Struthio camelus: one gene and its partner. The main gene of each other region encodes a partner of the protein of the gene in region 2 in a complex. Links are inferred from orthologs where the notes say so. Each region holds a gene or a part of one and is shown on either strand. Other genes may lie near its edges.

What was found. The genes of interacting proteins can lie anywhere in the genome.
Region 1: the proteins of DNM1L (region 2) and MIEF2 are in contact, whole or in part, in a cryo-EM structure (PDB 5WP9), measured with the Homo sapiens proteins. The link is inferred for Struthio camelus from reciprocal best matches to the Homo sapiens genes DNM1L and MIEF2. Residues at the interface, in NP_036192.2 of Homo sapiens: Asp190, Met191, Ala192, Thr193, Ser194, Leu197, Lys198, Ile199, Arg201, Glu202, Gly223, Thr224, Asp225, Asp228, Arg233, Val234; in NP_631901.2 of Homo sapiens: Val213, Asp214, Thr215, Val216, Arg218, Arg226, Leu230, Arg235, Val245, Gly246, Tyr248.

What each region holds. Positions count from the first base shown.
Region 1 is NC_090956.1:3,624,651-3,632,118, forward strand, and holds the start of MIEF2 (mitochondrial dynamics protein MID49), read right to left. Parts: upstream 3,004-7,468; 5' UTR 2,917-3,003; intron 2,112-2,916; 5' UTR 2,105-2,111; coding exon 1,958-2,104; intron 1,570-1,957; coding exon 1,392-1,569; intron 475-1,391; coding exon 1-474. Other genes in the region: FLII (protein flightless-1 homolog), read left to right, coding at 3,213-3,275, 4,465-4,575, 5,448-5,519, 5,889-5,969, 6,461-6,546, 6,682-6,843, 7,041-7,144, 7,237-7,412. UniProt on the Homo sapiens protein: Mitochondrial outer membrane protein involved in the regulation of mitochondrial organization.
Region 2 is NC_090942.1:67,416,874-67,423,917, forward strand, and holds the start of DNM1L (dynamin-1-like protein), read right to left. Parts: upstream 3,017-7,044; 5' UTR 2,888-3,016; coding exon 2,786-2,887; intron 1-2,785. UniProt on the Homo sapiens protein: Functions in mitochondrial and peroxisomal division.

The DNA.
Region 1 (7,468 bases), on a different chromosome or scaffold from region 2:
GCATCTTGTGGAGCGTCTCATTGAGCGCGTTGGAGGAGAGGTACCTGCCCACAATGAACCTGTCCCAGGGGCTGCGCCCACGAGGAAAGTACTCCAGATCAGTCCTCTTGATCATCCAGTACTGGGGGTTTCTCACAACAGTGTCCTCTCCTGGGATGAGGCTCCAGAGCCCAGGGTCAAGGATCACTGGCAGCATGAAGTCGACACGGTCAGCAGCAAGAGCCCCAAGGCCGTCAAGCAGGGGACCGCTGAGGAAGAGGCTGCCAAAGGGCAGCTCCGGGCACTTGCTCTGCAGGAAGTTCTGCAGTTCTGCGCAGATGTCCCTGGCCAGCTGCTGCGTGAGGGCCACCTGCTCCTCGGGGATGGCGAGGTGGCTGCTGTAGTGCAAGAGGAGTTTCTCCTGTAGCGTGAGGCAGCGTCGAGGGCTGGATTCGACCCGAAGAGTCTCTGGAGGGGCAGAACAGTCCCTGGGCTCTGTGAAGAGGGGATGGGGCAAAGGGAAGGAAGAAGTCAGCAAGGGCAAACAGCTCTCAGCAGATCATCCACAACACACAGCAGCAGCTTCTCCTGCCACATCCAAGGGGAAGGCCCGAGCTGAAAACCCAATTCTCGGCTCGAAAAAAACTCGATTCTCGGCTCATCTGCCCTTGGACACAAGGCCAACGTTGCCATGAGGGGCATCACTGAGTACTTTGATGTTAACAGCCCCTTTCAGCCGAGGCAGAGCTCAAACCAACCGTAAAACCGTACAGCACCCAGCACAACCTCCTGGCTAGAGATGGATAAACCAGGCGAAGCAATAGCAGCCAGAAGGGTCCCTCGCAAGTCTCAGCCGCAGTTTTTGTCCCCGCCACGCTCGGCTAGAGCCGGGCCCTGATGTCTGCCTGCTAGCCTGAGTCCGACAGACGATCCTGCTCTGGGCCAGAGGGCTCCTGGGAGTCTGCTATCTCAGGATCAGCCCTGCACCAAGCTGGGCAGGTTTTCTGCTAAGAAAAATGCCGTCTTTGTAAGCCAGCATTTTTCTAGGTGATTTATGAGCATACTTTCCTCTCTAGATAGAGAGCTGACCCAAAACCAAGCACAGCAGATACCGCTCAAACAGAAACAAAGCCCAGACAGCCTTCTACCACGACACGTTTGCCGAGACGCTCGGGGCGTTATCGGAGGTGTTATTCCTGCAGGCATTGCCTAAAAAGGGACCGCAGCTTGGGAGCCTCCCGCGAGGAAAGTCATAATCAGGTCAGCTTTCCGGTTACCGAGCTAAAAATAACCCGGAGCTCCCAGGCAGCCGGGAGCACAGCGCAGCCGGCCCTGCCACATCAAGGTGATCTTCACCAGCCCCGCGCAGGCGGAGCGCGGTGGCACCGTCCCGGGCGCGGAGGGAGCCTCACCTGGCACCGGCGGCCGAGCGGGCGAGAGCAGAGGCTCACTGAGGTCCTCCCTCCTCTGTTTCTTAGGGGGTTTTTGCGTTGCCTTGATCAAGGCCAAGTCCTGCCAGCTCTCCTCCAGGGTCTTCTGTTCTGCTTTGGGATCGCCTTCGTCGCGAGGGCTGGTGGCTCGGTCTATCAGCTGTGGGGAGACCCCGAAGCGGGGGGAGGCACGCATGCATCGCTGCTCTTAGCGGCTCCAATTCCCTGCACCCGACTGCACCCGGCTCCGGGGCTGGGGCACAAACGCCGACAGGGAGGCCCCGCAACGGGTCGCTCCCGCAGGGCGTTCCTGTTTGCAGGCGGACAACGTGCAGCGCCCAAACGCTCAGGTGCAAAGGCCAAATTGCTCTGGCCACAGCATCCTCGCACACCACGCTCTGCGTGCAAACACCAGGAGCGCGGAAGGGAAAATCCCCGGGAGCGCCCCCCTTAGCGGAACATTGCTCCTACGGACAGGGAAAAGGGATCATCCAGGATCCGCAGCAAGGAAAACCCAGCGCAGACAGGTTGCTCTCTCTGTACGTTACCCGCTTGACGGCCAGCGTGGCGATGGCGAGCGCGGCCGCGGCGCCCACGCCCAGCACCAGCCTGGCGTTGGCCAGGAGGAAGTCGACGGCGCTGCCCAGCCCGCTGTCGTCCTGCCGCTTGCCCCGCTTGGCTGCGAACTCCGCCATGGTCGCCCTGCAGCGGAGGGGAGAGGACAGGAGCCGTGGCGAAAAGCAGGATCCGGCCAGCTCGGCACCTCCTTTGCACGCACGGGACACCGGTCACTGGGTCCGGTGCCGCAGGAGACCCCGGAGAGCGCGGGAGCCCCTGGGGCGCCCCGGCCGGAGGGCACAGCGGGCCGCCCGGGAGGCTGCTGGCGCAGAGCAAGGTTCACGCCGGATGTCGCCCGCCTCCCGTGCTGCCCTTGGAGCAACTGTCCTGGCTCGGCCGCAGGCGGCTCGGAGGCCGCGGCGGCCCACGGCTGCTCGGCCCCTACGGTGCTGCCCCCCTCGAGGGCAGTACGGGTGGGCAGGTGATCGCAGGCACACATCACCCCGACAGCTGTAGCACCCCAGGGCTGGGACACACTGGGAACCCCGAACCCGCTAGGCTGGAGCCCGTGAGGTCCCCACGCTGCCTGCAGCACCGGCCCGCGAGGGCGCCGCAGAGACCCCACGCGAGACCCGCTGGCTCCGGGGGCACCCAGAAGGAGGAGACCCGCCCCCACCAGCCCCCCTGCCCCCCCCAACCACTAGGCTGCACACCCCCCGCCAGAGCCCAGGCCCTCGGGACCGCCCACGGACACCGCAGCCGGGCGCGACCTCCCCCGCGTGTGCGCGGCCCACGGTGCTCCGCAGCGGGGCTCGGGGACATCCGCCTCCCCCCCCCCCCACCGCGGGACACCCCGCGCGGAGCCCCCCGACCGGAGTCCTCCCGCCCTCCCTGCGCGCGCGGAGTCGCCCCCACGCGAGACCCCCCCCTGCCCCACGCGCGCGCTCACCCCAGCGGCGCGCGCCGCGGCGCGCCCGGACGTCCCCCGCAGCCGGCGGCGCGGAGGCAGCCAATGGGAGCGCGGCGCCGCCCGCCCGCGTTCGGAAATAGAACGCCGAGCGCCGGGCGCGCTGCCGTCACGCGCCTTAAAGGCGCCGCGCGGGCCGGGCGCGGGGCAGGGCTGCGGGCCCGGCGCGCCCCGCCGGCAGCGACGGGGTTAAAGCGGCGCGGGGCGGGGCGGCGGCGGGGGGTGGCGGTGCCGGCGCGGCCCCCCCCGGGTCCCCCCGCCCTTCCGCAGCGGCGGCCATGGCGGCCACCGGGGTGCTGCCCTTCGTCCGCGGCGTCGACCTCAGCGGCAACGACTTCAAGGTTGGGAGCGGGGGGCAGCGCGGCCGCGCACCGGGCCGACGGGGACGGGGCCTTCCACCCCCCGGCCATCCCGGCCCCACGGGGCCCGGCGAGCGCCGCCCCACGGTCCTCGGGATCCCGCTCCCCCCCCCCCCGGCCATGGCCGGGGGGTCTCGCCCTCCCCCGGACCCCCTAGGGCCCCATGGGGCCGGGCGATCCCAGCCCCCCCACGCGCGGATCCCGTGGGGCCAGGCAATCCCGCCCCCCACGCGCGGATCCCGTGGGGCTGGGCGATCCTGGCCCCCCAGCCCGGATTCCACGAGGCCGGGTGATCCAAACCCCAGATCCCATAGGGCCGGGTGGTCCTGCCCCTCCCCCAAGCCTGGATCCCGTGGGGCCAGGTGATCTGAAACCCAGATCCTGTGGGGCCGGGTGATCCCATCCCCCAAGCCCAGACCCCATGGGGCCCGGCGAGCGCAGCCCCCCCAAGCCCAGATCCCGTGGGGCTGGGTGATCCCGTCCCCCAAGCCCAGATCCCATGGGGCCGGGTGATCCCGTCCCCCAAGCCCAGACCCCATGAGGCTGGGTGATCACAGCCCCCCAAGCCTGGATCCCGTGGGGCCCGTTGGGCCGGGTGATCTGAAGCCCAGACCCCATGGGGCCAGGCGATCCCGTCCCCCAAGCCCAGACCCCATGGGGCCAGGCGATCCCGTCCCCCAAGCCCAGACCCCATGGGGCCAGGCGATCCCGTCCCCCAAGCCCAGACCCCATGGGGCCAGGCGATCCCGTCCCCCAAGCCCAGACCCCATGGGGCCAGGCAATCCCGTCCCCCAAGCCCAGATCCCATGGGGCCGGGTGATCCCATCCCCCAAGCCCAGATCCCATGGGGCCAGGCAATCCAAAGCCCAGATCCCATAGGGCTGGGCGATCCTGGCCCCCTCCTAGGCCTCCCTCAGCCCCATAGGGCCAGCTGATCTTCAGGCCCCACATCTTGGCCCCCCCAACCTCACATGGCCCCAGTGAGCCAGGTGACATTGGCCCCAGGCTCTGATCCCATGGGGCTGGGTGATCTCGGCCCCCTGGGGCAGCCGGGGGGGGGGGGGGGGCTGCGCTCCTTTCAGCTGGGCATATGGGGCTGGCGGGAGGGTCCGGCCTCCTGCCTTGGTTTTCTCACCCTTCGTTTTCCCCCCATCCCTCCTCTTCCTCGCAGGGCGGCTATTTCCCCGAGCACGTGAAGGCGATGACCAGCCTGCGCTGGCTGAAGCTGAACCGCACGGGGCTCTGCTACCTGCCCGAGGAGCTCGCCTCCCTCCAGAAGCTGGTGAGGGGCCGGGGCGCCCGGCCGGCGACAGAGCAGCGCGTTTCGGCCAGGGGATGGGGCTGTCGGGACCCTGCTGAGTAACCTGGTGTCTCACAGCCTCGTGGCTCGTCGCCGGGTGCTCTGAGGTCTAATAATAGGGCTGAGCCATGAACCGTGGTTGAAATTGGATGCAGGAGCTGTTAGGGGAGGGATTGAGATAGGCTTGCGCTAGGCTTGATCTTGTTTTCGTGGAAAACCAGGCTAAAAACCATGCTTAGGTCCTCTGCCCCCTGATAGAAGGGAAGGGTGAAGGTTTAAGTTGGGGAAGACTAAATTTTGGGGTTTTTTTTCCCTCCTTGCTAAAAGATATGAAGAGCAGTAATTGGCAGCTGCCTGGCTTTGGTTTTGGGAGGCTCAAGCTCTGTGCGAGACCAGGCCTTCGGTGGAGTTAATGGCTAACCTTTGCTTTTGGCAGTGTCCCGCAGTGTGTTATGGACACAGTTAAATGAGTGTCAGCCAAACGTGATGCTTTAAGCCCTGCCAGAAAGGCTGGTCCCCGCTCCGAGTGTGCCTGCTTTGGTGGCAGGGTGGCTCCGAGCACCCTTCCTCCGAGAGACGCTGCGGCGGGACAAGCTCTTGGCGATGTCGAGAGCAGCGCTGCCCAGCAAATCCTTCAAGATGTTCAGGGGCTACGGCTAGCTTAAAATCTGGGCCTTGGCATCTCATGCGTAGCGTCTCAGCAGCGCTGCCCGGGTCAGGGCTGAGCTCGCCCCGTGCCGCCGCCAGCCCCATCTCGCCTGCGATGCCGGAGCCCCGGTTGCTGCCTGGAGCCGCCCCTGCCGCTCTCCCCCGGGCGCCTTTCTCACGGTGGCTTCTTTGGGGCTTCCCTGCAGGAACATCTATCCGTGAGCCACAACAGCCTCACCACGCTCCACGGCGAGCTCTCCGGCCTGCCCTGCCTCCGGGTAAGTGCCCAGCTCTGTGCACCCTCAGCATCCCTCCTGAAGCAGGACCGGTGGCCCCCGGCACCTCTCAGCCAGCCCCTGCTCCGGGGACAGCAGCTTCCCGAGCCGGCTGGGCTGAGCAGGGAGATGCCCTGGGCACACCCTTCATTGCGTCACCCCCTTCTGGGAGGACTCGTGTCCCTCTCACCAGCAGGCAGAGCCCTCCCACCATCCCGTGCCTCAGTTTCCCTGGCCATCGGCATGGATGTGCCTGGCTGGGCAGAGCTCAGCAGGGCTCCGGGTGGCTGCAGGCCACGGCCTGGGCACCACCTCGCTGATGAGGCCGGCCGGGCCTCGCTGACCCCCAGCTCATCTCTCTCCCCTTTCCAGGCGATCGTGGCTCGTGCGAACAGCCTGAAGAACTCCGGAGTCCCCGATGACATTTTCCAGCTGGACGACCTCTCGGTGCTGGTACGCACAGCGCCTCCTGGCCGCCCTTCCCTGCAGCTCTGCCCAGCCTCAGCCACCATGGGAGGCAGCTCCGGCAAACACGGGAGCCAGCCAGACTCCTGGGTTCAGCTCCGCTGCCTCGGAGGCACCTCGCTCCTGTCTGGGAGCACACCCGGGCTGTACATGCACAGCAGGGCTGAGGGCGTCTCGGGGGAAGGTGCAACGAATCAGGTCCCGGTGCTTCCTGGCTCCCTTCGACTTTCTGGGGCCCTGGCTGTAAATGTCTTTGCTGCAGCTAGAAATCTTATCTCCTATCGAATCCGCGTTCTGTCATGCGCAGCCTGGAGGGTGGCAGGAGAGCCTGGAAGGACCGAGTGACAGTGCGCAGGAATGGGACAGGCCAAGCCCCCAAAGATGCCACTCAGTCCTGGGGTTTGCATGGTGGCTGCTGGAGGTGGGACCCTCCCTAGGGTGGAAGGTGACGCCTGCTTTGCTCTTCCATTTCTCCCAAGGACCTGAGCTACAACCAGCTTACAGAGTGCCCCCGGGAACTGGAGAACGCCAAGAACATGCTGGTCCTCAACCTCGGTCACAACAGGTAGGTCCTGGCCACCTCCATCCATCACATCCGTTGCTCCCCCTTGCTCCAGGTCCAGCTCTCTGCCCTCTCCGTGGCGGCACCCGGGGCTGGCGCAGGTGCCGGGCTGCTCTGAAGAGTCCCATGTCCCTGCAGCATCGAGACCATCCCCAACCAGCTCTTCATCAACCTGACGGACCTGCTCTATCTCGACCTGAGCAACAACAAGCTGGAGAGCCTCCCGCCACAGATGAGACGCCTGGTCCACCTCCAGACCCTCATCCTCAACGACAACCCCCTCCTCCACGCGCAGCTCCGGTAAGGCCCCGTTTTCTGGGCAGGATCCTGCCATGCCGGCATGGGGTGGCGTTCAGCTCACCAGTGGCCCAGCCCTGGCTTGGTCCCCCTGGGAAGGGGGATGGCCTGTCCCTGGGGTCCCCTGCTTGGCCGGACCCATGGCTGTGCCAGGGTCTGACTCCAGCTCTGTCACTGTCTCTGTCCCTGGGTCTCTGCAGGCAGCTCCCAGCAATGACAGCCCTGCAGACCCTCCATCTCAGGAACACCCAGCGCACCCAGAGCAACCTTCCCACCAGCCTCGAGGGCCTGACGAACCTGGCAGGTAGGGCCAGGGCACGCGGCACCAGCAGCCTCGGGCTCTCCCGGCCCTGGCACTGGGCTGGCCAGCAGCCTCACCCCACTGTCTTCCCCTAGATGTGGACCTGTCCTGCAACGAGCTCAGCCGCGTCCCCGAGTGCCTCTACACCCTGAACAGCTTGCGGCGCCTCAACCTCAGCAGCAACCAGATCGCAGAGCTGTCTCTCTGCATTGACCAGTGGACCCAGCTGGAGACCCTCAACCTGTCCCGTAACCAGCTCACCTCCTTGCCCGTACGTAGCATACCAGCCCATATGTCATGTCCCTGCACTTGCCTCTGCGCCATCCA
Region 2 (7,044 bases):
ACTTTAATGAAATAGTTGTAAAAAGGGAACTGAAACACAGATTCAGGAAAAGATAAATAAAAAGAAAACCCACTGTAGAATGACAGAAAAACCCTAAAATAGCAACACAGAGTTAGCATTCCAAGGGCATTCTCCGAGTTCCCGCAGTAGGAAATGGAGTCTTCGGTTTTCTTAATACACTCTAGGAGGATACAGAAATAACCTACACAGTATTTAAGTAGAAAATGAGAAGCAATTCTCATATGACAAAGTCACAAGAATGAGACTAGAAAAAGAGCAAGAGGCCATCTAAATGTTTAAAATCTACTAAGAAGTATTTTGTAATTAGTATCAAAATCCATCTACAAAAATCAAAAAATTAGGACACCTCAGTTGCTCAGAGTTTTCAAGGAAGATAGGAAATGAGTTTCCAAACAAGAGAGAGGGGGAAAGAGGCACATGGAGAAACAGAAAACATCCAAAGATAACTTAAAGATTTTAAGTACTTGCTAACTCTACATACTCTAAAAAAGAAGAAATCAATTTGGCATATAGAAGTAGAAATAAATGAGAACTGAAGAAAGACATAAGTACAAAACAAATAGTAAAAGGGTACAGAACAGATACAGAAGGTAAATGAAAACAAATGAATAGTGAAACTGTTAAAAAAGGTTTTTTTTTCTCCATGCTAAATATAAAAAAAGGCCATTTTAGAAAAGCAACAGACAAAATAGACAAAAAAAATTAATGGAGGGTTACAGAAATGTTAATAACATTTGTTTTTCCACATAGTAAAATGAAGGTGCGAAATTCAGAAAGTTGTTAATATTATACAAAAAAGAAAAAACAAGAGACTGCAAAAGCCAGTGGGCTACAAAGAAATTAATCATCTGAACAAATTTAGCGGTCACATATCACTTAACCAAAAATACCTCAAGAAACCGACCAAAGGATATTGGTTTTTTTTTTAAATGTGTCTTCTCAAACAAACAAACAAATCACGGAAGCAAAGCACCAGTAGTAATAGGATCGGCTATAGGGCCATATTTGAGGCAAATCCAGAAATCTAGTAGCCAATAAGCTAACTTCAAATGAATAAAATAAAGTGTTTTTTAAAATGAATGAATTGGGTAAAATAACTATCTAAAGAATTAGCATTTCAGTGAGAACAATTATTTCTTCCAATAACTCTGACTAAAAATAGTGTTTTGCAAACAAAAAAAAAAATCACGGACCAAGGGCTTTATATATGTCTGTGAAATTATAATACAATTATATAATGTAATTATAATTTCACAGACATTTTGCTGTATTTTTTCTGGAGTCTATAAAGCTCTTGGCCTTGGTGTGCTAAGAGGCATCACACTATTTTACCTTATTCTATGTCTTTTCATGAGTTTACCAAATTTGAAATTGAATGGATGTTACTACCCAAGGGTAGACTGTTCAAGTCAAATGCATGTCAGTATAATCGTAACACGCATCACCTACTCTATGTATTTATGAGCAGTTAACTAGGATCAAGTTGCTATAAAGCAACAATAATCCAAAAAATAAAGTGTCACTTCAATGTGTTTCATAAAGTGAAACAGAAAATAATACTTCCATTAACATTACACAGAAAAATGCCATATCTCTGCCTTGCACCTATTTCTGCTATAGAAATTAAAAAAAAATACAGCCTGCTTGCATGATTTTTAGTGTAAGAGATTAAATGTCTTCAGAAGGTGATGGACTCCTTTTAGCTACAAAAACAGCAAGAACCTAACATAACCTGTGAATGCAAAGTCTCTCCCACACAATGCAAGTATTTCAGATCTATTTTATAAAGTAATTGATATAAAGTCCATGAATCTACCTGATTTATATCAGTAAAAGAGACTGACAGCTGGTTGCCTTACAACCATTTCAAGAGTGTAATTAGCTATGGGCAAACCTAGTCCGTGCTTCAGCACTGTGTAAGCCTTAAACACGCAGCATCTGTTTTAAGCCACATAATGACATCTCAAACTGACCGCAGAACAGTTGATACTGCTGTCTCTTATGTAGCCAGGCTATTGTCAAGTAACATCAAATATTCATAAGCACGGTTAATTTCACAGAAACAAAGAGACCCATTAACTCCAAGTTAAAAATGAAAAAGCACTCCCCTCCCAGGCAGTTCTAGCTGTGCTAAAATGCTTCATTTTCAGCCTACAACTCCGACAGCTCTGGCTGGGCACATTTCGTCGCGGAGAGTTCTGTCGAGCAACTACAGCGCGCTTGCGTCCCTCCGAAAGGCTCCGAAACAATTTATAACCCTCCAGCGCTACCAGGCTGGGATGCGCACGCCGCAACTGTTCCAGGTTTGCTCTGTGCCGCTTCCTCCTTTCGCTCCAAACCGCTGCCCGAGCCAAACAGGTCCCAACAGCGCAAGGAACTGTCAAGCGACCTCGCGGGAGGGGGTTAAAAAAAAAAAAAGGGTGCACGCCGGCGAGAGGCGGCTTCTCCAGCGCGCTGCTGCGCCCCTCGCACTCGCCACCGGCCACAGCCGCCGGCGGCGCGGGGGAGGCGGGGAGCGGGCGGGCGGCGGAAGGGGAAGAGGCGCCGCGGCCGCAGGCGGCGGGGAGGCGGCCCGCCCCGCCGCGTCCCCCCGTGCCCTTGATAGAGGCAGCACCGGAGCCGCCCGAGCCGAGGCGCGGGGGAGGGTGCCTCGACTTTGCCCCCAGCGGCCGGGCTGCCGCCTCCCGCCGCTCGGCACCGACGGCCGCTCCCGCCGCCGCTGCCACCGCCCCGCCCGGGCCGGGCCGGGCCGCCCCCGCCTCACCTGCGTGCCCACCACGACGATCTGCGGCAGCTGGATGATGTCGGCCCCCACCGTGTTGAACACGTCCTGCAGCTTGTTAATCACGGGGATCAGCGCCTCCATAGCGGCGCGGAACCCGGCCGCGGGCCGCAGGTGCCGGCAATGAATGGGCGCGACGGGCAACGGCTCCCGTCAGCCGCCCCCACCGCCTGCCGCCATTGGCGCCGGCCCCCGCGCACGGCCCCGGCCCCCAGCAGGCTGTGCGCGCCCGCGGGGCGGGGCGGGGCGCCGCCGCCGCGCGGCACCACGGGAGCTGTAGTGCCGTTGGGCGGCTGGCAACGGCTCGTCGCGGGCCGTAAACGGACGCGTGGACTCGGGAAACGGCAGCGGGCGCGGCCCCCTCCCAGCTAGGGAAGGCAGGGTTACTGCTTTCCTGCAGTCAGGGGCGCCTCAGAGGCGACGCGGGCCCCCTGCGCCAGGGGTTGGCAGGCCGGAGCCACGGCCCGTGGCTGGTGCTGGCGGCCCTCTGGAGCCGGCAGGGCCGAGAGGCCGCTTTCCTTCGAGGCGCGGGTAGCAGCGAGCGGCTTGAAACCCCTCAGGAAGCAGCACTGCCCCAGCGCCAGGGGAAACAACCCAGAGGTGGCAACACGCCCGCCCGCTGCCCGGTAACTGCCTCGCCGCCACTTGGCCCGGCAAGGGTGCTAGACGGCAAATTGTTAACTTGTCAACAGGCTGGTCCCACCAAGCCGACAGGATGGGAAGATAAAACTGCTTGGAGGGAAAAAAAAGGGAGGAAAGCATCATGGGGGTTCATTAAGGGAGAGAAAAGAGCCAGAGAAGATCCAGTCATACAAAATATGCAGCAAAAAGAACATTCTCCCATACTGGTACACATACAAACAGACAGTTACAGTTGACAGGGCAGCAGGAGCCTAGATTTAAAACCGCTGGGTAAAACTGGGGGTAAGAAAAGCAGACACAGCCTTTGCCTTTTATATTTTCTAAAAAGTTTTAGCAGTTGCTGTGGCCCCTCCTCAAGTATTTTCGTGTTTCGCCTCAGTCATTTACATGCACCCCAAGAAGCCTTCTCCCTGCCAGCAGCATTTTAAAAACCTCTCCGTGTAGATGACACAGCTACATACATGCTCAGCTATGTACAGAAAAGAGTCCATTTGCAATTATCTGCAAACATAGATCTCTCTCTGACTACTTAGATGCACTGACCCATCTTACTCAATATTCTGGCCTGGGAGGATGTTCAAAATGTCTCCAGATAAGAATCAGATACTGAAACAGAAGTAAAGCATCCTATCTCTTTCAAGATCTTTCTTACTGAGTAATCATCATTCCATTATATTTATTCTATTTGCTTTCTTGTTGATGGCTTTGCTTTAGGTGCCAGTCTTTTACCTGACCTCTTCATCTGAAATTTTCCGGCTCAGATGCATAATAGTAGGGTTGGATGAGGTGTCTGGTGAGGCTTGGGAAGCGGAAAACTGTGGAAGATCTAGTATTCAGCTGTATCTTAGAAAAAGATAGACTAAAGCCTGAGAATGACTTGTGATAAAAGATAACAAAAAAGCTATCTGATCTTTAAATATCTTTCCCTTGAATGCATTTTCTCAAAGATAAATTATGAATATGTAATAGTTCTGAACTGAATTCTGGCATTGTCCCTTCCTGAATGCAACTGCTTCTGAAACTTTAAAGTTCTGGTTGACATAAGACTTTGTATTCTTATTCAGTCCAAATTAGTCAAGTCTTTTCTGCTCTTCATTTCTTGAAATTATCGAATGATGAAAGGGAGAATACACAAGGGCAATATGTTCTTGCCTACATATCTTTTCAACACAGCTTCTCATTCTTACCCAGTAAATTTCACACGGCTTCTTAGAGAACTGATATTTTATTGACAAAAGCAAAAAGATAGTTAAGCGAACTGAAACGGTCAGAAATGATTGTTTGCAGCATAGAGAGAAACAACTGGTTAACACTTGGAAAAATAAATGAAGAAGTGCCTAAATAACTTGTTGATGAGGAAGAAAGCAGGAGGACTTCTTATCATAGTGATACAATGACCTGCCATGATTTTCCAATGGTTTCACCCATTGGTTTTCAAGTGTGCTGAAACTGGCGGGTCTAAGAGACATTAAGATCATTAATACCAGGATGCCATTCAGGATCTGCCTCTCCTGCTGCCAGAACAATAGTGCATATTTCCTGTGTTGCATACACTGACACAGCCATAACACTTTCTAAAGGGTTTGCAGTTCCCTGACGAGGTCTATCACGGAACCTCATCTTATCTCCTTCCTCGAGCTCCTAGAAGGAGAAGGAAAAAAAAAGGAAAAAAAGAAGGAGACACATCCTTGTTGCATCGGAATGGAAACTGTTGGCATCTAAAGTGGGTAGAGGAGAAACTTATTTCTCTATGCCACTGTCTTTTCTCCTACTGCTTTCGTTTTCCGTGTAACCTAGTGGACAGCACTGTGAAATGGGTCAGCAAGTACAGTCTGTTTCACATATTAATTTAAACTAAAAGTGGTACATCTCAGAAAGGATATACAACTGAAAAGGTTCAGAGGAGGACAGCCAGAATGATGAAAGGTGTGAAACTGCATTGATAATGAGGAGCAACTAAGCAAGCTAGGAGTTGCCACTCTACAAAAGAAAGAAGGGAGGAGGAAGGATTTGAGGTCTGTATAATCTAGTGGCCTGGAGTGGTAGGAAGACGATCAATTTGTTTATTCTCCCTTTCAATACAAGAATTATTGGAGCATCTAATGAAGCAAGAAGAAGCCAGCTCAGAACAGAGCAAAGATAGTAGACCCTCATGGGTGGGTTGATGACCTATTGAAGTCCTTGCCAAAGGACGCTGTGGACAGTAAAATTTTACATGAATTGAGATGGAGACCGAACAAGTTTAATGAAGAGAAATGCATTGCGTGTAAATAAATACCTAGGTAGAATTTGCATCTAGCTCTGGAAATTTCTGAGCTGCAATGTTTGGAGGCTGAGAGAGCATCAAGCAGAAATACTGTGTACGCCTGCCCTTTAGTCTATCCCAGTATGGCCATTCTTGGAATTTGATCTGTATAACATTTCAAGAAACATACATGGAAAACATCAGTTGCTGAACTGAGTTGAGCAGAGATGTCAAAAAGACTATCAAGAAAAGGCAACCCAGTGTGAATTAAGGAAGAGAAGGAAAATGTGAGGAAAGGACTAAAGAAAATACAAGACTAGGAAACATCAGGATGCAAAGTTTAACATTGTACATTTCTGGCTAAAAAGTGGAAGCTGGAAATACCTTTGCTATGAAGCATCATATCCTTTATCAGCTTATGAAATGAAGCAATTATCTTATCCCAGTTAGAGTTCTGTGCCAAAGTAATAATCGTTTTAACAAGCAAGGATCATATGTGGCTTTATCTGTCTGCTTTCTATCTCAGACTCATACTGTACTGAGCAAGAAACTCGATGTGATAAAATAGTAGTAGTCAGGCTGGTTATTTACTAAAAGCAATTGACAACAGCAAGAAAACAGCAACTGCCACACTGAATCTGACCTGGTATCCATCTGTCTCAGAATCTCACCTCTAAAGATGTCCAGCACCAATGCTCCAGGGAAAATACAAAAATGCAATAATAAGATCTTATGATCCCAATACTATGTAGTAAGTAATTTTGATATTGCCAAAAGCTCTGAAGTAGACAATTCAATATTCCTTCCGTTTTATCAACATTACTTGAAACTAGATTGCTTTAGACACCTTATAATAGTTTTTGATCCATCAAGCTAAATTCTTGGCTGTAACGACTTCCTGTGCTAACAGGTTTCATGATCTAATTACACACAGTTCAAACAAGTTAGTGTCAGTTTTGAATTTGTCATCTTTTAATTTCATTATAACCTCTCCTTTGAAGGAAAACAAGTCTGAAGTCAGGAGAACAAAATTTCCAGTCTTTCTTCTCCATGGTATGAACTTACGTAGTTTTATGTCATCCTGATATTCCATTTACTTAGACAGCTGGAATCTCTTATATTGATGCACCGATCACAGTAGGAAAGTCACTTGCAGTGTAATGAATTCATGCTAGACAATGAGACCACAAGCCACGACCTCAGTAGGGAAATTTCTGTGCTGTCGTCATATTTGTCTAAAGAAAGAAAGATTTGACCGACACACTTCAATTTATCCAGTACGTAACATACTTAACATTTGCACTGCATACAAATCCTACATATTGCACAAACAGTACTGGCAAAATACTTCTCA